Linked DNA regions of Arabidopsis thaliana. The protein of the gene in region 3 interacts with the protein of the main gene of each other region in a pairwise test. Each region holds a gene or a part of one and is shown on either strand. Other genes may lie near its edges. The genes, in order: AT2G25520, YSL3, AT1G66760 and CAT9.

What was found.
Region 1: the proteins of AT1G66760 (region 3) and AT2G25520 interact in a two-hybrid assay, tested with the Arabidopsis thaliana proteins (one large-scale study listed by BioGRID).
Region 2: the proteins of AT1G66760 (region 3) and YSL3 interact in a protein complementation assay, tested with the Arabidopsis thaliana proteins (one large-scale study listed by BioGRID).
Region 4: the proteins of AT1G66760 (region 3) and CAT9 interact in a protein complementation assay, tested with the Arabidopsis thaliana proteins (one large-scale study listed by BioGRID).

What each region holds. Positions count from the first base shown.
Region 1 is NC_003071.7:10,858,263-10,863,089, forward strand, and holds AT2G25520 (Drug/metabolite transporter superfamily protein), read left to right. Parts: upstream 1-2,405; 5' UTR 2,406-2,687; coding exon 2,688-3,731; 3' UTR 3,732-4,148; downstream 4,149-4,827. Other genes in the region: AT2G25530 (AFG1-like ATPase family protein), read left to right, coding at 4,797-4,827.
Region 2 is NC_003076.8:21,753,249-21,759,597, reverse strand, and holds YSL3 (YELLOW STRIPE like 3), read right to left. Parts: upstream 4,348-6,349; 5' UTR 3,873-4,347; exon of another isoform or gene 3,775-3,872; 5' UTR 3,695-3,774; intron 3,606-3,694; exon of another isoform or gene 3,581-3,605; 5' UTR 3,518-3,580; coding exon 3,145-3,517; exon of another isoform or gene 3,050-3,144; coding exon 2,874-3,049; intron 2,640-2,873; coding exon 2,542-2,639; intron 2,453-2,541; coding exon 2,318-2,452; intron 2,234-2,317; coding exon 2,044-2,233; intron 1,956-2,043; coding exon 1,838-1,955; intron 1,760-1,837; coding exon 822-1,759; 3' UTR 665-821; downstream 1-664. UniProt on the Arabidopsis thaliana protein: May be involved in the lateral transport of nicotianamine-chelated metals in the vasculature.
Region 3 is NC_003070.9:24,899,951-24,905,147, reverse strand, and holds AT1G66760 (MATE efflux family protein), read right to left. Parts: upstream 3,267-5,197; 5' UTR 3,039-3,266; coding exon 2,790-3,038; exon of another isoform or gene 2,712-2,789; coding exon 2,167-2,711; intron 1,971-2,166; coding exon 1,884-1,970; intron 1,798-1,883; coding exon 1,741-1,797; intron 1,648-1,740; coding exon 1,409-1,647; coding exon of another isoform or gene 1,404-1,408; exon of another isoform or gene 1,318-1,403; coding exon 1,112-1,317; coding exon of another isoform or gene 1,094-1,111; exon of another isoform or gene 1,001-1,093; coding exon 935-1,000; 3' UTR 705-934; downstream 1-704.
Region 4 is NC_003070.9:1,800,483-1,806,284, forward strand, and holds CAT9 (cationic amino acid transporter 9), read right to left. Parts: upstream 3,519-5,802; 5' UTR 3,461-3,518; coding exon 3,211-3,460; exon of another isoform or gene 3,126-3,210; coding exon 2,716-3,125; intron 2,637-2,715; coding exon 2,460-2,636; intron 2,389-2,459; coding exon 2,164-2,388; intron 2,052-2,163; coding exon 1,875-2,051; intron 1,779-1,874; coding exon 1,542-1,778; coding exon of another isoform or gene 1,515-1,541; exon of another isoform or gene 1,193-1,514; coding exon 1,097-1,192; coding exon of another isoform or gene 1,079-1,096; exon of another isoform or gene 1,021-1,078; coding exon 883-1,020; 3' UTR 628-882; downstream 1-627. Other genes in the region: AT1G05930 (B3 domain protein (DUF313)), read left to right, coding at 367-451; AT1G05950 (uncharacterized protein), read right to left, coding at 4,091-4,242, 4,334-4,400, 4,470-4,624, 4,705-4,771, 4,887-5,102, 5,185-5,397, 5,482-5,635, 5,751-5,802. UniProt on the Arabidopsis thaliana protein: Permease involved in the transport of the cationic amino acids.

The DNA.
Region 1 (4,827 bases), on a different chromosome or scaffold from region 3:
AAAATTTTGACAAAAAAAAAAACAGAGGGCTATAATTTTGGGCATATTAATTACTAATTTTGGTCATTATTAATATTTTTGGAAAAAATTTTATCCAACATAGGATAGTTTATATAGCCAAAGTATTTTGTTTATTTTCAAAATCTTTTTTTTTTTTTTTTCAAAATCTCATTAATATAAAACTCAAATAAAGTTATATAAACTGACAATATTAATTGTTAACAGTAAAAAAGAAAAGAAAAATGGAAGAACCGCACATAACAAGTTAGAAACACTAAAAAATATATGTACAGATCATTCATTTTGTCACAAAACTGAACAACATGTGGTTCATATAATTTTTTTATATTTAAATATAAGAAACAAGCTTTTGTTAATAAAATGACGAATGGAGAAGAAGAATATACGGTTCCTCCACATTAGCAATAGAACCATACTGTCTCCACTCTTCCATTGAAGGTAAAAAAATGTAATGGGCTCTCTCTCTAAAGAACGGTTTTTCTGGCAGAGTTCCGTCTAAGTTTCCAGTTGAATCCGGCTTTGGTATCTGGCTTATGACACGACTAATTCAGTATCTTATTTTTGTTATTTATATGAATAATGTCCACGGTTTTAATTATGGGGATGCCACTTTATACGGTGATTCGTTTAGGTGAAGGTTTTACTTCTGCTTGTACTATTGGGTCCGCGGTTGATAAATACTATCAGATATGATTGCATACTTGCATGTAACTGATAAAAATAATATTTGTTACTTTACGTATTTTGAATTACCAATTAGCCTGTATTTCAAGTAACCAGAACTACTAGTTACTAAGCAAGCAGTTGTGCACTTATTAGATCATAATAATAATAAGTACTCAATAACTAAAATCACCTTAAAACGGAAATTAAAAAAATGATCGACTTTGATGTTATCATATCCGCCACTTTTGTTTCGTTCTCTCGGGCTGAATCGTTTGTTTCGTTCTCTCTATCGTTACTAGCTCTCTGTTTCTTGTTTTGTCTCTATTCATTAACTTTGCTTCCCTTATTAGTAATTATAATTTATAAATTCTAAATGATGTCTCTGTAAAAGAGAAACAAAGTAGATAAATATTAAGGGAGAAATGTAAATGTAACTGCATAATCGGTTTGCTACAAACTTATTTTTCCCTCCTAAAATGTTTCTTTTCTTTCTTTGCAAAAGATTCATTCGCTATATGCCTGTATTGGTTAAACATTAGTAGAAGTATTTTTGCAATTGGCGTGCAGAACATGGGAAGTTAGTAGCTACTTTATATATGGCCACATGACTTCCTCGCACGTCACGTAATCGGTGAAATGCTGTCCATGTGACAGTCAGACTCTTCGTAAAACAAATGTTCCGAAAGTAGTAACTACGGATAATTTATTTATTTTTGCAAACGTTACTGTAGTTACAAAATAAATAATGTTCCTTTGTAACTTTGGCGTGGGATTTCCAAAAAGTCTCTTGTCACATGAAACGGTTTTGAAAAATTTATAATCTCACTTTGAATTTGGTATATGTATTCAGACGAATGATAAGATACCAAATTATTTTAGTCGTTTTAATTTATAGATTTATTACTAACTTTTTTTTTTGTAAATTTAAACTTTCAGATTAGGCAACACCAAATAAATGATATATTTAATAGAAAATGTATGGTCGAAAAAAAATATTGTAATGTCTCTACACCAGAAGCTTTTGTTTTGACTTTTGAGTGTTTGAATCATTTGAAGTTTTGAACAGAATAATTCCACAATCAAAACCAAATAATATTTTATCAGGCGAGCGAAAGACAAGATTTTGACAGGTATTTGTACAAGTACTGAGTCGGTCAACAAACCCCGTCTGGACTCTGGACCCGAAGTAACCCAACAAACGTTGCGACAACTACATTAGCACCACCACCAAGGCACCAATAATGCAACGTAAGAGGGACGCAGCAAAACTGTCGCGATGTGAGATTCACGCGCTCTAATTTAAACGTTGACTCTTTGTTTCATCGTTACTCTCTCCCATTTATTTACTTCGCATACTCTCTTCGTTACAAGTTTCCATTTAATTACTCTTAAGTCTCTAACTAATAGCTTTAGGGATTCGTCATTAATTTAAGGCAACGTAAACTTAAAGAGTTTCGACTAAAAGCCGTTTCAGGAAACATACATCATCACATACTTTATCTAAATAACTGGCTTATTAATTTTATAACAAAAATGACGTTATTTAGTGTTAAGATATACAAATATTTAATTTTTACTAAATTAGTTAAGGTAAAATTGTGTTCCTTTCTGTGAGTTTTCCGCAATATTAAAAAACCCTAGAGAAATTAACAAAACGTAATTGACTAAAAAAAGAGTTCAAAACAAAACATTTGTTACATTTATTTCATAATTTAAAGACTAAGTATAAATCCACTAGAAAACAGATGATTAAAAATGCGGGTCCCACAATACGCCAATCGTCAAATAATCGCGCACCTTTTCGCCACGTAGCATAACAAAGTCACGTAAGCCCTTCCTCTACATTACAAGACCAAACTCAAAGTCTCTTTCTCCCCCAAACCCAAAAACATTGACCCAAAGAGAGAGAGACTTCTATCGTGCGCACCTCTCTCTCTTAATCCTTTATCCTGCGCACCACCACCACCATCTTCTTCTCCGGCGAAAACAAACCCACCGCCATGGGGAAAGGTCGTGCACTTTCCGACGGAGTGATCAAAAAGATCATCCTTTCATACACCTATGTCGCAATCTGGATCTTCCTCAGCTTCACAGTCATCGTCTACAACAAATACATCCTCGACAAGAAGATGTATAATTGGCCATTCCCAATAACTCTCACCATGATCCACATGGGTTTTTGCTCTTCCTTAGCTGTGATTCTCATCAAAGTCTTCAAAGTCGTCGAGCCTGTTTCAATGTCACGCGAGACTTATCTCAGATCCGTCGTACCAATCGGCGCGTTGTACTCACTTTCTCTCTGGTTATCAAACTCTGCTTACATCTACCTCTCTGTTTCCTTCATTCAAATGCTCAAAGCCCTAATGCCTGTAGCAGTTTACTCAATCGGGGTTTTGTTGAAGAAAGAGACTTTCAAATCTCAGACTATGACTAACATGCTTTCGATCTCGTTTGGTGTTGCTATTGCTGCTTATGGTGAAGCTAAGTTTGATGGTTGGGGTGTTTTTCTTCAGCTTGGTGCTGTTGCTTTTGAAGCCACTAGGTTGGTTTTGATTCAGATCTTGCTTACTTCTAAAGGAATCAATCTAAATCCAATCACTTCTCTCTATTACGTTGCTCCTTGTTGTTTGGTTTTCCTCTCTGTTCCTTGGATCTTTGTGGAGTTTCCAGTTCTTAGAGATACTTCGAGTTTCCATTTCGATTTCGTGATCTTTGGAACCAATTCTGTTTGTGCGTTTGCTTTGAATCTTGCTGTGTTCTTGCTCGTTGGGAAAACCTCTGCTTTGACTATGAATGTGGCTGGTGTGGTTAAGGATTGGCTCTTGATTGCATTCTCGTGGTCGGTGATTAAGGACACGGTCACACCTATCAATCTGTTTGGTTATGGACTTGCCTTTTTGGGTGTTGGATATTACAATCACTGCAAGTTACAGGCGTTGAAGGCTAAAGATGCACAGAAGAAGGTTCAGGCAAGTGATGACGAAGCTGGGAAGCTTTTGGAAGAGAGGGAAAGTGAAGCTAAACGCAACGAAACCCAAGATTGATCTGTTCTGATTCAAGAATGCAATTTCAGGAAATAAGAGCTTCAAGGTTAGAATGATTTGGGAAGATGGATTTTGCATTTTCATAGGTATGATTATCATTGTCGGTGTTCGTTCGTCTACGTTTTAGTTTTGCGATTATATTTTTAAGTTATGGCTGATTATATTACATAGTGATGGATGGGTGTTTAATTAGAGGTTCATGAATCTTTTGAACTCCATTGTATCTTCTTCTTTTGAGTTGTATTTTGTTTCTTACTTCCTCATGAATCTATCTTTGTGGGTAACAATTGTTTTAGTAGTACTTCTTTATATTTTTTCCCTCCATTGAGATTGTTAAATGTCAAATTGAAAGTCCCTTTTACGTCTCTCTTTATCCAATGAAACCGTTGTATGTTGGAAGGCACAAGAAGATGGTCAACACCAAAAACTTTTTGATATTTTATGGGTTATGTAGGATCATTTAGTAGCAAGATCCACAATTTAAGGAAATAAACAAAATACCCATACCGACGTTCCCTTGCAATAATATGACACATGACACCATCATATGAATACAATGGTCTCATTTAACCTCTACAAATATCCTTCCTTTAGTCTCAACAAGTTTCTGTCCTGAGTAAAGGGACAGGCCAAATAGGTGTTAGATACCAAACTAAAAACATTCAAACAGGCTCACGGGTTATGGATTTCTCATCAGCGAATATTTGGGAACTTTTAACACAATTCGGATCTACTCTCGCTTGGCATAAAAGCTGTTTTGTTCCAGAACAGAATTCATAAGCATGCATTGGTGCTTGGTTTGTCACTTTGTGAAATGTGACTTTGAATAGCCATCCTACCTCTTGGCAGAATTGTTTTTGGATTTGGGTTATATCCTATCAAATTCCAAAACTTAACAAACCAGTTTTGTTTGATTTCAACTGGAATCTTATAACTAGCTCATAGTTCCTACATATCTTTTTTTTGTTTGAATCTACTACATATCAGGCAGTAGTATTCTAGACTCGGACGAAACTTTATTAGTCCAAATTAGGCTGCACCAAACGAAATGCAGATACATCATACATGTCACGGACCGGACCACATCGGGTTTGGC
Region 2 (6,349 bases), on a different chromosome or scaffold from region 3:
CAAAGCTACTAATCAAAATTTCTGATAATACAGAGTACTAGATACAGATTCAAATCGAAATCATCAGAACGATGATGAATGAACGAATATACTAATTCCCTTATCGATTTTTGGAAAAAGATGGGATCTTTACCCTTTCAGATTCAGAATTTTCGATAGCTCCGAAGCTCAGAAATCAGCAGAAGACGGAAGAAATAGAGGTTCCTCACCTACTTAATTGTGTTCAATATAAACAAAATACGAAACTACCCTCGATATTTTGCTTAGGGTTTGGATGAGCAGGGGTAGTTTTGGTCAAGTTGGGCTTTGACTTTAAACAAATCAAATTGGGCTTTGTGCAAATCAAATTAAAATTTGGTTTCCATTTTTGACGAGATTTTATTTTGGTCCACGTTTGGTACTTTGAAAAATACAAATATGACGTGTGCTGAATTGACAAAAAAAAAAACAGACACATAAAGTGTGATCTAACAACGTTTAGCAGATTTCAAAGAAAGAAATAAATCTTAAAATAGAAGAATCTTGCCTTTTGTCAGTAAAAACATATACCAATTTAACCGTATTTTTATCACTATTTTGGCAAATATCTTCTGGAATTTAATTCCATTTGACCTTATTCTAAAATATTGAGTTTCTTTTTGGGGAGAAGTTACTTGGGACATGGATTTTTAAATAGAATTGAGAGACTAGTTTATTACTTTATTGTGTATACAAACTTACAAAGTACAATTCCTATATAAACTGTTTTTTTTGTTTCCACAATTCTTTAGCTAATTTTTTTGTCGCTACACAAAAAAGTAAAAACTCGTAAAAAGCTATCTTTAACTCGAATATTTACTCGGCATGAAGCCCATACATATAGGAGGTCTAACGCCGGCCAAAGCAAGAACCGACGACGGCAAAATCCATAGACCATCTCCACATATCAAACCGGAAGCAACCGCCGGTACCATTAAACCGGCTTTAACTCGATCTCTCATATTCCAAGCAAACACAATCAAACTTCCCACACACATATCAATAGCAAAGTACCCTCCAACAAGAAACGGAACCGCCATTGCCATCGGTAATGGAACCCAATTCCCTATCTTATCCGGTAACCTATCCCTAACGAGATTTGCCGCCACCGCGAATGCGAAAAACCCGTAACAAAGCTGTAAACAATGTTGAGGCAAAGCAGAGAAACCTTCAACTCCAAGAATTGCCATGTTTCTGTATACCAAAGCGTAAGGAGCTTTGTACTCTCCCTCCTGGTTCCCGACATCGAAAGCTTTATAAAACAAGAAGAAAGTTAGAGGCGCCACAACGCATCCGATCGCTGTACCGATCGCTTGACTCACAAGCATCGACCTAGGTGAAGTCAGAGTCAAATGTCCTGTCTTGAAATCGTGCATTAGGTCAGAAGAAATCGATACAATCGATTTTATCAACCCGCATCCGACAAGTCCCGCGACTACACCATTTTGTTTCCCTGCCATAGCGGCTAAGATAAACAGAGCGACTTTACCATAGTTATAAGCCATGTTCATATCTGTTAGCCCTGCTCCATAAGCGTTACTGAAACCTAACGATGGAGCTAACATGTAAGCTACGACTATGAAGTACCATTTCAGCTCGGGGAACATTATAGGGATCGCGATGATCGAGACAACAGAGAACGCTGCGTATCCTACTGCTGCAACCCATAATGGAATGCTGTCTCTTACAAAGATCTCATCTCTTTTAAGATCTGCAATAGATTGCTTATCTTTCTCCGAATCTGCGATTTACGTTTGAACATCAGATAATACATTATTGAAATGACGATTTTTCTATAGTTTTTTTGGTGTATACTTACTAGATTTCCCAGAGTTGCGATTGTTTAACTTGACGTACATGTTTATTCCTGTCTTAAAAAGTATCTTGATGAATTGGTAAAGCCCGTCTCCGAGGATCAATGAGATTGATATAAACACCTAAAGAGTTATGAACAAATTAAGAACGAAAGTACGCGAAAGAAAGGGCGGAGTTTATTGTAGAGTACTAGTGTTTTTTGTATGGAACCTTGTAACCATTGAGACTCTTCATGCTGTTTTCAGGAAGAGTTGATGGGAACCAATCTCCTTTAAGACCTTTAATGAGTGGCCACATGATTCCCCAAGACAGAACCGCGCCAAAAAGCAAAGATATATTGACAATATGGGGACAGATCATTCCTGCTCCAACGTATGTCATGCTAAAGTCGAAGTAGAATCTGTCAAGTTTTTTCAAGATCATCAAGATTCTGTTTCTATCTGTTGATATATAAACAGTCAATAGAACTAAGAATAATACTCACGTGTTCTTCAAAGCTTCTAACCCGAAAGTTGGAAACTGAATGAAACCGCACTCTGTACCACCAGAGAAGAACCATTGGAAGAAAGCCCAAATGAAGCTAAATGAGAAGTACTTCACAAACCCAAACACTTGTTTCCTGCATATAAACAGATTTTATTTAAATCAAAAACTCTAGAATTAGTGGTGAAAGAGAGCTAAGAGACTGCCAAAAAATCGAGTTAATACTTGGCCATTTTATTGCCTTTAGGAGTGTGGAAACCGTTGATCAAAACCGCGGTAGCTGTTCCACTTGGATATGTCAGCTTGTAGTCTATGATCATGATCTGGTTAACCAAAAAAAGAAGCATAATGAACACTTAGCAATGTAGACCCAAACCAGCCAACAGGGGATTAATAGTCCAAACTTGGCCAATATTAATCTCCGTCCTATGTTGGCTATAGCGGGTTTGGCCAGGCCCATATCACACTTATATGGGCCGGACTGACCCGCAAACTTTGGCCTACCGCAACATCTCTAACTACAAATTCAATGAGACAGAATCTTAAATAATCTCTACCTTTCTTAGAGGAACCAATGCTAAAAGACCAACAAAGCAAGTAAAGAACAAGAAAGCGGTCATCCAACCGATTCCAGGCTCTTTCGTGCCTTCCGGATAATTCCCATCAGTGTGAGTTCCTCCTGACTGTTCATAAGTAATTCTGTTCAAACCAAGAAGGTATGAACCAAACCCACCTGCAAATCACACAAACACATAGCTCAAAACAATGATCCAACCCCAAACAAAAACTGATCAAACAGTCAAAACAACTGGTCAAAATTCACTGAACCTCCAACTGCAATGCTGTAACAAGCAACAGCACATGTTTGGACAACAGTGTTCTCTTGTTTAGTGAACGGTTTAGTCACAATCCCGGCTTTGGTCAACAGCTTGGTCCAGCTTCTAAGGAAGACAAAGGCTAAAAGTGCTGCAGAGACATTTAGGTTTGGGACCAAACCTGTTGTTAGGTTTAGTTTCATCACGATCACACTGTAGATTATACCAATGATTAAACTTGCAACAATTCCTCTGAAAGTGATTTGTTCCTTCCATGGAGGTATTGACTTGAAATCATCTCCTTCGTTTTGCGTCTCTTCCAAGTCATCTATTACTTCTCTTTCTATCTCATTCCTTCCCTCTCTCTCCATCATCATACTCCTCATTTTTTTCCAAGAACAGAACAAAAAAACAGAGTTTCTTCTTCTTGATTATCTTTTTTGACAATACTGAAAAAACAAAAATTTGTCAAAACAAAAACCCAAAAGACAGATTCTTTTAATAATTAAATATCAATCAAAAGCTTACTTTTATGGAAAATGACGAGAGGAAAAAAATGGTACCTCTTTTTGGATCAATTGATTCTGGGAATTTTATATAAAGTTTAGAATTTTTCTTGCTTTCCACTCCCAAGCATAATTATCTGAAGAAGAAGAAGAAGAAGAAAAAGAAACAGTTGCTTAGCAAATGAGAAAAAGGAAAACTAGAGATTATTTTAATCAAGTGCATAATCTTTATAACCATAGAATAATGACGCAAGTTATCTCTTATGTTCAGAGATCTAATTAAAAGAATTAGAAAAAAGTTAATGACTCAAGAATCTGCCATTAATCTCTTTTGCTTCAAACACTTTTTTTTCTTTCTGAAATCTGTAGTAAACGTAAGAAAAGAAGAGAATGAAACGTAACTGGTTAATGAAACAGGGACACACACACGAAGACCACACTCCCGTTTCCCAAAGAGATAAAAGAAAAAAAACATTGAATGCTTACACGAAACGAAGACCAAAGAATAGCTAAAAATGGTATAGTTGATTTTTTAAAAATGGACTTTGGTGAGACTACTCAAAGTTATATAGAGAAGTAGAGATGAAGAAGAAAGCTTAAAACCAAGAAGAATTTATTTATGGGATCTTGGGTTCTTATGTACCGCACGTTGACTTGATATCAGTACTACACAAAGAAAAAAGAAAAGAGAAAAGAGTTTTGGGGTTTATGTAGTACAATAATCATTAAGGGGTTAAACTTTATAAAAGTTACGTCACCGAAAAGAAAAAAAGTAGGGTAACAATTAATTATTAAGAATATACTCCACATATATAACCTTCATATATCTCACTAAGAAAGTTATATAATTTATGGATGTATAACTAAATGTCACATACGAAAAATCAAACTTTATAAGTTTGTCAAACACATGACTATTCAACCATTAGATTAGTATGTAGAGGAACAAATGTCATTATCTCTCATAAATATATAACAATTAGGAGTTTAGGTGATGAAATAAGATTAGGAGTCAAATAGTTAGTAAAATTACACTTGAAATGATTTATTCGTAACTTTAGATTTGTGTTTTGGTTAGACTTAGATATAAATTATGAATGTATTTCTATTTCTAAATATTTTTTCCATTAAAATCAGTTCATCCATAATTAAGTTTTTTTTTGTTCTAATTATAAGAGATGGTTAACTTATAACTAGTTACAGATTACAATATCAAAAGTCTTTTAAAAGTCATAAATATGATATCATAACTAATTAACCTTTTATAGTATTAAAATACATGTTTAACTCAATGAATCTGGTGACATTCATGTGAAACTGAAAAAGTGAAAAGTTTGGTAAACCGAGATTCCGGTTCATGTGACTGTCTTTTACTAAACAAGATGATGACATTATGGACAATCTTATGCCATAACTATCCTCTTTATTTTATTGACCACATGATTAATATTAAAGCCAAAATATGGAAACATAACTCTCCATAATGTGAATAATAATTAAAATTTTCTTAGGTAGTCAATCAAGAAAATGGTAAATGTCAACTCCATACCATGTGGTCACAAACATACCAAAACCCCAAAAGAAAATTAAAGTCGAATAAATTATTCAATAAGTTCGACTTTTGATTCTTTACGTCAACACGTCAAATTCATAAGTAGAATTGGACTATTATATTCGGACGTTTCCTGGCCGAATTTGGTGCGTTATATTACACCAATCCTGCGTGATAGGATAAGATCAGATCAAACCAATTAAACCATTTTTTGCCAAGAACATACGAATGAATTTGCATTTTTGAAAACCAAGACTTGTTTAAGACTGAATTTTATAAGATCGTTCCCAACCTATTTCAATCGGCCAGAAATATGTTCAATTTAATGCATTGGTTGATAAAGTTGAATAAACTACTGTAACAGCCGTTGGTTCAAAATAATTTTGTTCACATTATAGTATTTAATGTAGTGTTGACTAGAGTTGGGGTAGTAACTGGTAAGTACCACTAGCTAGCTAGTTATGAAGTGAACGTGTTACAATTCTCTCGTATATTAGATTTTTATTTTCTTACATCGTCCTTCCTTAAACTAAATGATATGTAGTAGTATCATTTAGATCTCTATATGAAGGAAATGGAACTAAAACTGTTAACACGGAAATTGTGTGAATACAAACCACTAGACAATAACTTTCGAATGTCTCGTAGTCGTAGGCATATATATACATGATCGAATATTAATGTGTCCTCGTATGCTAAGTAGATATTACGAGGCCCTATGGAGAAGAAAAAGAGAATAATACTACTCTCTTTTGTACGAACTTTACTTTTCTTTTCCTATATTTTTTTTAAAAATATGTAATTCACTTCTTCCATGCATTCCTTTGAATAATTATTTATGACTTTTTTACAACATTTATGAGGTACTGCATCTGAGAATTACCTATTTTTAACATTGGATTCAACTGATGGTGTTAAGTGTGAGAAAGCAAGATCAACCATATGACTATCTATCTATAACCAAGATTTACTAATTACGTCCTAACCTTCTCAGCTTGACCATGCCTATCTTCATAGCTAGACCTCTCGGTGGATCCTTTCTAATGATTGAAAGTATGATCTTACCCAAGTTCAGTTCATGTTTGATCAATTGACTCTTTTAAGTCTACCCAATTTTTGTCTTCGCCTCTTGGGAATATTGGACCTTCACATCTAAATTA
Region 3 (5,197 bases):
TGCTAGTTTTAGAATGAGGTTCAATTGAAATATAATTGAAAACCCCTCCTCTTGAGCAGGCGTATCAGGAATCCAACATTAAAAGTGTGATGTAACCGAGAACGTAATATAAAAATGATATGGGTCAATCTATTTATTGTTAGGAGTTCCATGACAAGACTCTTACGTTCATGAAATCAATATCTTGATGCAAAACTGAACTTGAACATGGACTGAAGCGAGGCTAGATTCATTTAACAAGACTCTCACGTTCGTGAAACCAATTTACTGGTGCAAAACTGGACTTGAACATGGACTGATGCGCGGCTGGATTCATTTGACAAGACTCTTACGTCCATGAAACCAATATACTATATTGGTGCAAAACTGGACTTGAACATGGACTTCTGCGAGGCTGGATTCACCTCATTGTATAACTGATTTTGCAAGTCCATACATTTTTGTTTCTTGGATTGATGTTGATTTAATTTAACTTTTTGTTAATCTTCAATATTATGTATGACGTGTCGTTGCTTCCACGTGTTTTCTGCCATAACAATTACCTACTCACCTTGACTCTTATGAGCATCTCTTGTCGGAGAAAGTATTCAAATTTGCTTTTTGACTTCTTTAATTCTTTGAGTATATCCTTTCAAGATACTCTCTCTTTGGTTCATTATTTGTTTTTTGGCCACGTAAAGTTGTATTATAGACTTTATAGTATAGAAGTTTTAAGCTTGAACCAATCAACTTTGGTCACTCTTTAATTCATCTATTATATACCAGATCATTTTTTAACTGAGATATATTTTCAAACTTTCTTACACTCTAATATCATATGAAAGACTATAATGTACTTTCAATATAAATTACAATCAACTGAAGGTTATTGCACAAACACACACAAAAAAAGAAGCAATCAAAATCCCCCAAAAGTTTGTATTTCTTTTTTTCTTCAATTAAGCAATGAGTCATGTCTCCAAACTTTCTCATCACCAATTCTCTCCCTAGCCTTAATTGCCTGCAAAATTTCATTGAAGAAAAAATGTGTAAACAAATATTAGCTCGATTTCTCGAAAAATCGAATGATGGATTAGAAACAGAAAAAAGCGAGTTACGCGGTTACAATCACCTCTTTGCTCCAATTGGTAAATCCAATAACAAGAAATAGGATTAGAGTTTGTAATGTTGATCCTGTGACTAAACCAGCCCAAAGTCCTTTCCCATTGAAGTGAAGATGAAAACACAATAGAAGTCCAACAGGAATACCAATGACATAATAAGAGGTTATGTTCACATAAGCTCCAATTTTTTGCCACCCTGTTCCTCTCACAATCCCTAAACAAAACAAAACATATATTCGGTTCACGTTCACAAAAAAATAATAACATGGTTGCAAAACCGGAGATGCGTGTTAAGAAAGGCTAACCGGAGAGGACGGTCAAGAAGCTGTCCATGAGGATTGAGATACAAAGAATAGGAGTGATATCAGTCACATAACTAATTACTTCCTCCACATTGCTATATGCATAAGGCCACACACTGCGAGACAAGAACAGACTAGAGCTCACAATAACTGACTCAACAGCTGCAATTATGATTGCAGCCGCAGCAGAATCACGAGCCCCTCGCGGATTCCCAGCTCCTAGCTCATTAGCCACATTGGTGCTAACCAACGAAACAAAAAAAAATGAAACATTAATTCTTCGAAAATAAAATGAAGTGAAAATTCGATGTAAGAGTATTAAAGTAAGAACAAACCTTGCTGCATCACCAATTCCATTTACTAGATTGTAATGCAATGAAGAGGTCGTGAGGCTGCTCAATCCCAAAAATTAAGGCTTAGAAAATGAAAGAAAATATAAGTATCACAGATTATATAGTTTTGCGGTTCGATACATTACCAAATCGAAATAACCGATGTTTCGAGCTTTGAGTTGGGTAGAAGACCAGACAGCAAAGTAATGACCTCGAAAGCTAACCACTCAAGGCTATTGAAGGAAGCAAGAGCAATAAGAAAATAAGTGTCAATAGAATATTAGTGAAGGGAAAAAAAATCCATTACACATTTATTTATGTAACCTAAGATTTTAAATCTTTCACCTATCCACAAAACAATGACCACCACTAGACTACCATCACTTGGTTAATTCTATATGGATTTTTAATAAAGTTGTACATACTTACCAACACATCATTGCAGAAGGAATGGCAAATTGAAAGAAGATATTTGTATGAACAAAAACATCCTTGGACATATAAATCCGCGTTTCGACACAACGACTAGAGCGTTTCATATAAACCCAAAGAAAAACCGCGTTGAGCCAGTAAGAGATACCGATAGACGCAGCCGCTCCTTTGGCTCCAAAATCAAATTTATGAACCATTAGCCAACAGAGAGGAACATGGAAAGACAGAGCAGCTAGAGAGCTCAAGACCATTGGATAAATCAAGCTTTGTGACTGAAAATATCGAACCAACGACTCGAGAACAGAGTAACCGAATAAAGCTGGTACCAGCCAGAGACAGTACACACCAGCTAACTCTGCTATTTGAGGATCTTGATGAAGCAACAGCAAGATCTGGTTCATGAACATCCAAAGAATCGAAATCGGAACAGAGATAATCAAAAGGAAAACTATTGAAGTGAAAGTGTAAGATCCAAGCTTGTGATATTGTTTTGCTCCATATGCTTGACCACATAGTGTTTCCAATGAACCTGAAAGTCCAAACTATATAGTATACAACAATAATTAGAAACAAATTAATCCAATACATATATATATATAAAGGTTCATATACTTGCTTACAAGAACACCAAAGCCGGTAACATTAGCAAAGGAGCTTCCTAGAGCGATTCCGGCGAGAGCGAGTTCGCTCCGGTGACCGACGATCATTGTAGAAGTTGCTTGAAGAAGGTATTGAGACATGTTCACGGCGACCATTGGAGCAGCCATTGAAGCAACTTTCTTCATCTTCTCCCATCTTATTTTTTCTTTATCTTCGTCTTGTGATTGTTTGGTGTTCAACAATAACGGAGTTTCGATACTCTTCTTCATTTTTTTTTTCTTTCTGGTTAGAGAAAATGTTGGAAGTTGTGTCGTATTTATTTAGCTTTATGATTTTGATATAATAAAATTTGTATTTTGATAAATAATATATGCGACGTCGCGACTCGAAGAAAAGAAAATAAACACGTTTCCGCTTCCGCGTATAAAAGCGAAATCGTTTTCGACTTTTATCATCTCACTCATTTAAGTCAAAAGATAGAATTCAGCACGTGTAAGAAGAAGATGCATCCTAACTAGTAACTAATAATTGGTTCCTATTTGTAGTTTGTACTTAAAAGATTTTAGTTGTGGAGTCTTTTTTTTTTTTTATGCCAGAGAAATTAATTAGACAACATAAAGTTTGTTTTGGTTGTATAGCCTTAAAAAGAAAAGTAAAACATGAATGGTTCAGTTTTAAGGCTTTGTGAGTTGTTGAAACTTTTTAGAACCTTTTACCAATCAAATACATTTGTGGTTAAAACTTAAAAATCATGTCGGTTCTTGAAAAAGGCAAGAGTGGTATTAACAATATTTTTGATTAGCATGAGATAGAACTGGAACACAGAACAATATAATACCTTAAGAGTATCAAACAGATATGAAAACTGAATTAGAATCGGTGTTTCCTCTTCAAGCCTTTACTAGTTGCTTCGCTTTGTGTTTCTTATCGTGTTATCTCTTGTATTCGTAGTTCCTTTAGTCGTAGTCTTTCTCCCTTTTTTTTTTTTTTTTTTTTTTTTTGCTTCTATTGTTTACTCTGTATTCTGTCTCAAACTTGAAAACGGTATAAATACTTAACATCGATACCAAAAAAAAAAAAAAAACTGAATTAGAAGATTTTTAAATGTATAGAACCACATACTGATCATCAGTTATTATTTAATTAGTCATAAAATGAGATATACATTTCTAAAGAATAAGGAATAAAAGTCTCTCTTCGTATTGATTGCATTGGCTCAAATCGATAAACATCGGTCCATGATCAATATTTTTAATATCATATCATTTATTTAAGTATTGAACCTAAGATGGCTTTCAGTGGTTACCATCTTACAATAGATTTTTTTTGTCAGCGTTAAACCACTTATGAGAAAAAAAATGTATAATATATGTAGTAATAGCTAGTTTTCAAAAGAACAACAAGATAAATTGTTATTTTGTCAATAGATGATATATGAAAAAGACTACTCATGACAGCGTGATTTATGTAAATTGTGTAACATAACTATAGATTAATTTAATATTTTATAATTATTTATATTATATGATATTTTTATGAATGGTTGAATTTTTTTAAAAATGGATATTTCTTAATCTGCATATTTAACTAAAACCTCTTATATTTTGAAACATAAAGAATACTCCTAGACTAGACATGCTGAGGCCTGAGAGGACAAATGAAACTAAACACATGTTTCAATACTGACCGACAGAAAGAAAAAAATAAATAAATGAAAAGAATAATAATAAAACACATGTTTCAACTTTAAATACATATCTCGATGAACCTAACCTAATCCACATCTCCATGTTAATTCATTGACAAAAACTCCAATCCATGATAATACTCCAATAACATAAAGTTTTAGTTTTCAAAATCATTGTTAAAAAGTACTATCGACTTTATATACTCCACAACATAAATTTGAAATTAGTCAGACTAAACCGCCAAAGTTAAGATTTTGTTTGTGTTTCTAAACAAACAAATTTTGCTCTACTTGATATCAATAATAAATCCGTCTCTTAATGACATTTTTTTTTACTATTTCGTTAACAAAATAGATGTAACTTAACTACTGATTACTAGTATTATTTTTGATTCAATATATCATACATACTTTTTACGTTTTAGTATAAATGTCATTTACAGGTTCTTCACATATAGTAAAAAAACAATTAGATTTTTTTGTCTATCGCTTATTAATATATTATACAATTTTTTATAATTGGTCAATACATTAAAATTGAATATTTACCAAATATCTACACTAAAAATAATAACAATACTTATTTTGAAATAAAATTTTAACACTAAAACGACACTTATTGTGAAAAGAAAGAAATGTATAACTTATAAAGTTAAAAGTTATAACCGAGAATATATGTATTCACAATGTCATTTACAGGTTCTTCACATATAGTAAAAACATTTTTTTTGTTTATCTCTT
Region 4 (5,802 bases), about 23 Mb from region 3:
AGGAGGCTTAGCACAGTCTCTGTTTCATGCTTAATACAATACACTCTCTAAATAATGCTTTCAAGAAAAGAAAAAGAAAAGATTATACCTTTAGAGTTATTATAAGAGGAAAACGAAGTAAATCAGAACGGATTAACGAACTATATAAAACAACAAAGTCACTCTTTTCAGTTTTCATTCACAACAAAATCTTAATGGGGCTTCCACTTCTTCTTCATCGCCTTTTTCTTTAACCTTCTTCAAAACTACATTGCCGAGTCCAAGAAGACTCCATCTTTGTGTCTAACGGGAGACCACGAGCCCCAAGAGGCGTGTGGTGTCACCGAGAGGGGTAAATCAGAAAGACATCAGTCTTTGGTCTTTCAGGTGGCGTGGAATCCTCTGTTTTGCTCTTGTTCCTCCTCTTACATTGAGACAGAGTAGCTCTTCCAATGCTCGCCGTCTCTGCTAAGCTTCTTGTCTCTGTGGAGATTGATCTTCATTTGTACAGCCGGCTAAGTTGGGGCAATTCTAGAGGGTTTTGGTCTTACTACAATGCTAGAGGGTTTGGATGTCTGTTATTAGTAAGCTTGTTGTTTCTGATTCTATACTATGATCCGTTGAATAACTCTAACATTGAGTATGTTTATGTGAACATTGCTAGCTTCTGGGATTATTTGGTAGCACAAAAGCCATTTTCAGTCATTCAAGGCTTTAGTTGAAATGCACAAGCATACTTTTATTAACTTCTTTACAACAATAATGTTTAACTGCCTTATCCCATCCAATCCTTAAACTCGACCTGAATATGTATGTGACATACAGTATGTCTCTCACGAAACGCAGAAACTTGCTATCAACTCTACAAATGGCTTTAAGTAACACAACTATAATGTAGCATTACTAAGCGTCGCTTTCAGTTTCAGGTGCCCTCTGATAATCCAACATGCTCGGATCTGCGTGGTACTGCCCATACAAGGCATAAACGGCAGTTGCAAGCACACTGACAACAACAAATCTTATCCATGCTTCATAATGCAACTGCACAGTAGCGGAAAAATCAAAGGTAGATCATATGGTATGTGAAATTAGTATAAAGTTAGTTCTTAGCGTGTACCTGAGCAAATAAGAAGATGTTGAAGAAAATGCAAACGGATGGCACAATGGGTACACCAGGACAGCTAAACCCAGAACCTAGAGGCAGAGCATAAGCCTGGAAGCGAAAAGCTGAGGGGTTTAACATGAAGCATAGCTAGCAAGGCATTTGCCTGATTTGTGGAGACAACCATGAGGGTATATTTCCTAATTGATGTTAACAAACTTCTCCTCTAAACCAAGAATGCAAAGACTTCAATAGTCACAGACTTTCATAGTATCACTGTAGAGTTCTAAGTGCCAGAACATGCTAGTGGTGGTCTCTATTTTATGCTGTATCAGTAAAAGACTTAGTATCTAGCATTTTAACAGGGGTGAAACTTGGTTTTTTTATTTTATTTTTTTTGGCGCTATGAAATTAAGAAGAGTGTGCTATGGAATTAAGGCTTATACTTAAGGCTACTTACTTGGCGATAATGAAGAACTGCTGAAGCAACAACTGCCACACCAACTGAGAGGAGAATAAATATAACTGAAGCACTGAAACGGTAAAATACGCCAGCACCAAAACCACTGCATGCAATTATAACAAGGCAAATGACGCCTTCCTGCCAACTTGATGTCCATCTATTGGACGACTCTCTATCTTTTTTATCATTCAGTCTCAATGCCACAACACAAGCCGCAACAACTGAATACCCAGTCTGAAGAAATGGAACACCGAAAATAATGTTAAACTGGAAAGTATAAGTATCAATAAGAAAAGCAAAGAGATATTTAAAATTAAGACCTTGACGTACCAATGTACCAACAGACAGAATATGGGAAAGACTATGTACATTAAATATGCCAGCTAAAACGCCAGCTACAATGCCGCACCAGATTTGAGAATGAAGAGGTGTATGAAGAGTTGGGTGTATTCTGGAAAAGATTGAAGGCAATAGACCATCCCTTCCAAGTCCCAGATATAACCTGGACTGTTTATCCGAAATATCATATGATTACTCAAGAGTGTTACCTTGGTTTGCATAATATACAAGTACATAATAAAAGAAATTACAAAAGAAATACATATATATATATTATCACCTGAACATAAAGACCAACAAGCAGAGTAGTTGTGAGTCCAGCAACAGCACCAATACTGATTAAGATTGAGACGAACTTCATACCCTTTGATGAAAAGGCTTCAGCTAAAGGAGCATCTTCGCTGAGGAGGCTAAAAGGGACCATCCCGGTGAGCACCAAACATACGCCAATATACAGCGAGATACAAACCAGAAGGCTCCCCATAATTCCGATTGGCAAATCGCGCTGAACAAGAATTAAACAGACATAAGAGACTTTGTAGATAGTATGTACATTCAACATATATATAGGCAGACCTGAGGGTTCTTCGATTCTTCAGCAGAATTAGCAACTGCATCAAATCCAACATATGAAAAGAAGACAACAGTAGCTCCAGTGAGAACTGCTTTAAAACCATTAGGCGCAAAAGGAGACCAATTTGCTACATCAATTTCAAAAGCACCGGCACAAATCACAACGAGAACGATCACGACCTACAGAAGAAACAATATAGTGAAGAAGAGTTTTTTTTGGTAAAGATAAGAAGAGAAGGTTAAAAGGAAAGAAGCTTACCTTAGTAGCAGTCATAACGGAGTTGACAGCGGAAGATTCTCGCACACCTTGGCATAGAACAAGGGTCAAGAGAGCAAGTAAAATGGGAGCCAAAATATTCAAAGAGAGAAGCCCTCCCAAGAGCTCTTTGCCGCTTCCCATCCAGAGAGGAATAGAGCCCTTGAGGGCTGGAAAAAGCTCAAGAAGAGCAACAGCATAGCTGGCCAAGCTACGGGAGATACTAGCGGCGCCAATATGATAGTCAAGCATGAGTTGAACGAAAACAAGAAAAGCTGTGATCTCATTGAAAGCTGAGTAAGAGTACATGTAAGCTCCACCAACAACAGCAGGGAAACGAGATGAAAGTTCAGCATAACAGAGAGCGTTCAACACACACGATGCTCCAGCTAGCAAGAAGCTGATTGTGACTCCTAGGCACGCAACGGCAGCAATAATCACTAAGCGATTCTGAACGAATCAAGGAGGTGGTGAGAAAAAGTAATTCATTCAACTGACCAGGTCCAGCATCGCGAGCGACGGTTCCGGTGACGACGAAGACACCGGCGCCGATGGAAGCGCCGACGCCCAACAGTATGAGGTCGAAAAGGCCGAGGCGACGAACCAGAGAGTCGCCAGAGGTGGAGCGAACGGCAGTCTGCGAGGACGGAGGGGGCAGTGATTTAGATCGGAGAGCTGAAGCACGGAAATGAGAGAACCATGTGGCGGAGGAGAGGCGTTGGTTGCTGAAACCTTCGTGGCCTCCCATGGAAACTTCAATTTGAGAGTTGAAGATTGATCGAGACGATGACTGAAATCACCCCCGGGATAATCAGAATCCAAATCAATAAATATTGGGCCAACCATTGGGCCCAACAGAGACCACTTAAACCCAATAACCCTCTAATGAACTGAAAGCTCGCGACGACATCTGTCTTTGGGCCTTTAGGTGCGATGGAGTCCTCTGTTTTGCCATGAGACAGTATAGCTCCTATTTTCGTTGTTGACAAGTTTCTTGTGTCTGTTGAGATTCATATTGGTCTAATCTTTCAGGCCATTGTTGAGGTTTTTGGTCTAGTTAACAATATTAGGGTTTTTTTTTACTAGGATTTCTTTCATCCCTCTTTAGCACTTTGTTGGGTTTTTGAGTTTCTAGGATTGTTTTAAATGCAGGAGGCTTAGGATTAGGTTTTTAACATGATTCTGGTTCTACTTTAGTTTCTGCATCAGTTAATACCTTTGACTTCTTGTAATATATCTCAAAATCTCAACCAGAGGATGGAGTTTTGTACAAATCTTGCTATTCGTCCAAAATGGCCATACATATCAAAATCAGGGTTGTTTTCTACTCATGCTGGAAGTTAGTTTGGTTTCTGAGTTGTTCTTGAATCTCACATAATCATGATAAGTTGGCTGCTGTGTCGTGTTGTAACTTTGTTAGCAAGCAAGCTGCCGCAGATTCCCTAGCTTCCTCAGCATCAGACTTTTCCTCTCCATGTATTGTACATGCGACATGATTCCCCGTGATTCTTACTTCAGCTTCATATCCACCTTTTTGAACAAAGCATCAACATCAACATGCAAATCTGAAGGGAGTAATGGAGCTGAACTACGAGTTTGGCAAATGATCTCAAAACTTTACCATCTGATGGAGCCACACGATAGTTTGGTAGTACCCAGTTATTCATGAGACAGATATCATCGAGTCTCTGCAATAAATAGGGGCAATGAATCTTAATTCTTTGAACAAGAAATGATTAAAGTAACCATAAACTAACCTGACACAGACTTTTAGTAGAAGGAAGAGTTTCACTGAGCTTCAGCCTCTTGTTGCTTTGGCATGCTGACTTGTCAAGAGATTCTTGAAGGTTACGCCTCGGGTATGTCTCGTTACAGCACTCGAGTACTGTTTCTAATTGCAGCTCCCAATCACCTATAACACCCACGAGATCACTAAGATTCATGTAAAAACAAAGCTGTGCAGAAAGGAAAAGTATATGTATATATACATACCTTTGATGTTCTGGATGCATTTATCACATTTAGCAATCTCGTCTTCTATGTTCCTCTGTTGACGAGTCTGCAGCCAGAGAAAAAGAGAGCAGCTCTTAATCATAAAATAAGGATATATATGCTATTGCCAATCAGTTTTTTTGCTGTGTTGTGTATCTTTGATCAAATTCTACAGTTATTACCAGTTTATCTCGTTTGCAAAGAAGAACTTTCAATGCAGTTTCGGATAGTGATGTTGCTTTAGAAAGAAGAGACGTCTGTAGCTCCTCAAGATTTGGATTAGAGTTATGAGCAGAAGCAGGAGTTGAATTAAGCTTATGAATGCTATTAAGTCTGTCAGGAACAGCTTTCTTCCTCTGGAGACCTCTTTCTTTAAGTTCCTTTGGGTCAGACGCAACCTGCATTTACAAAAGGGTGATAAAGGATACTTGAAGATTGAATTGAGAATATATAATTGTTAGTGTAGATTTCAGATTTCACCTCGAAACCACCTTTCTCTCCATTCGAATAGTTATCCTTACAAGGGCTCATTTCATTACCTACATTCTTAGCCTTCAACGCAACTACTGTCTCCGAGTGAACATTAGGTTCCTTCGCACCACTCATACTTCCTTTTAAGTACCGATTTTGCAACCTCGTCGTAGCTTTTCCTCTAGCTCCAGGATGGCTCAGTAGAGCGGCAACTTTTTTGGCCTGCAATTTAAATTCTTAAGTTAATTTGTAATACCATTTTCCTTAACACAACCATACAATACAAGTATCATTATGAGAGCATACTTTAATTTCATATCTCCTTTTTAAAGCAGCTTTTTCTCGTCTTTCAAAAATGTCGGAAACTTCCGACTCCTTGGTTGCATCTACTTTGTTGCTTTCGATATCATCACATACAGCTTCTGGTTCTTTCTCTATCACAAATTCGGTATCTCCTCGCCTGAAAAAGCACAATAAACTTATATTGCTACCCCTAAACTAGAAATGATACCAAACAAACTCAAAGTAATGTTAAGGAATAACAATTTAGGAAGAAAAAAAGGATGCAATTAAACCTGGAAAACCAATCTTCTATGAGAGTGGCATATGGAAGAACATGAAAGTATT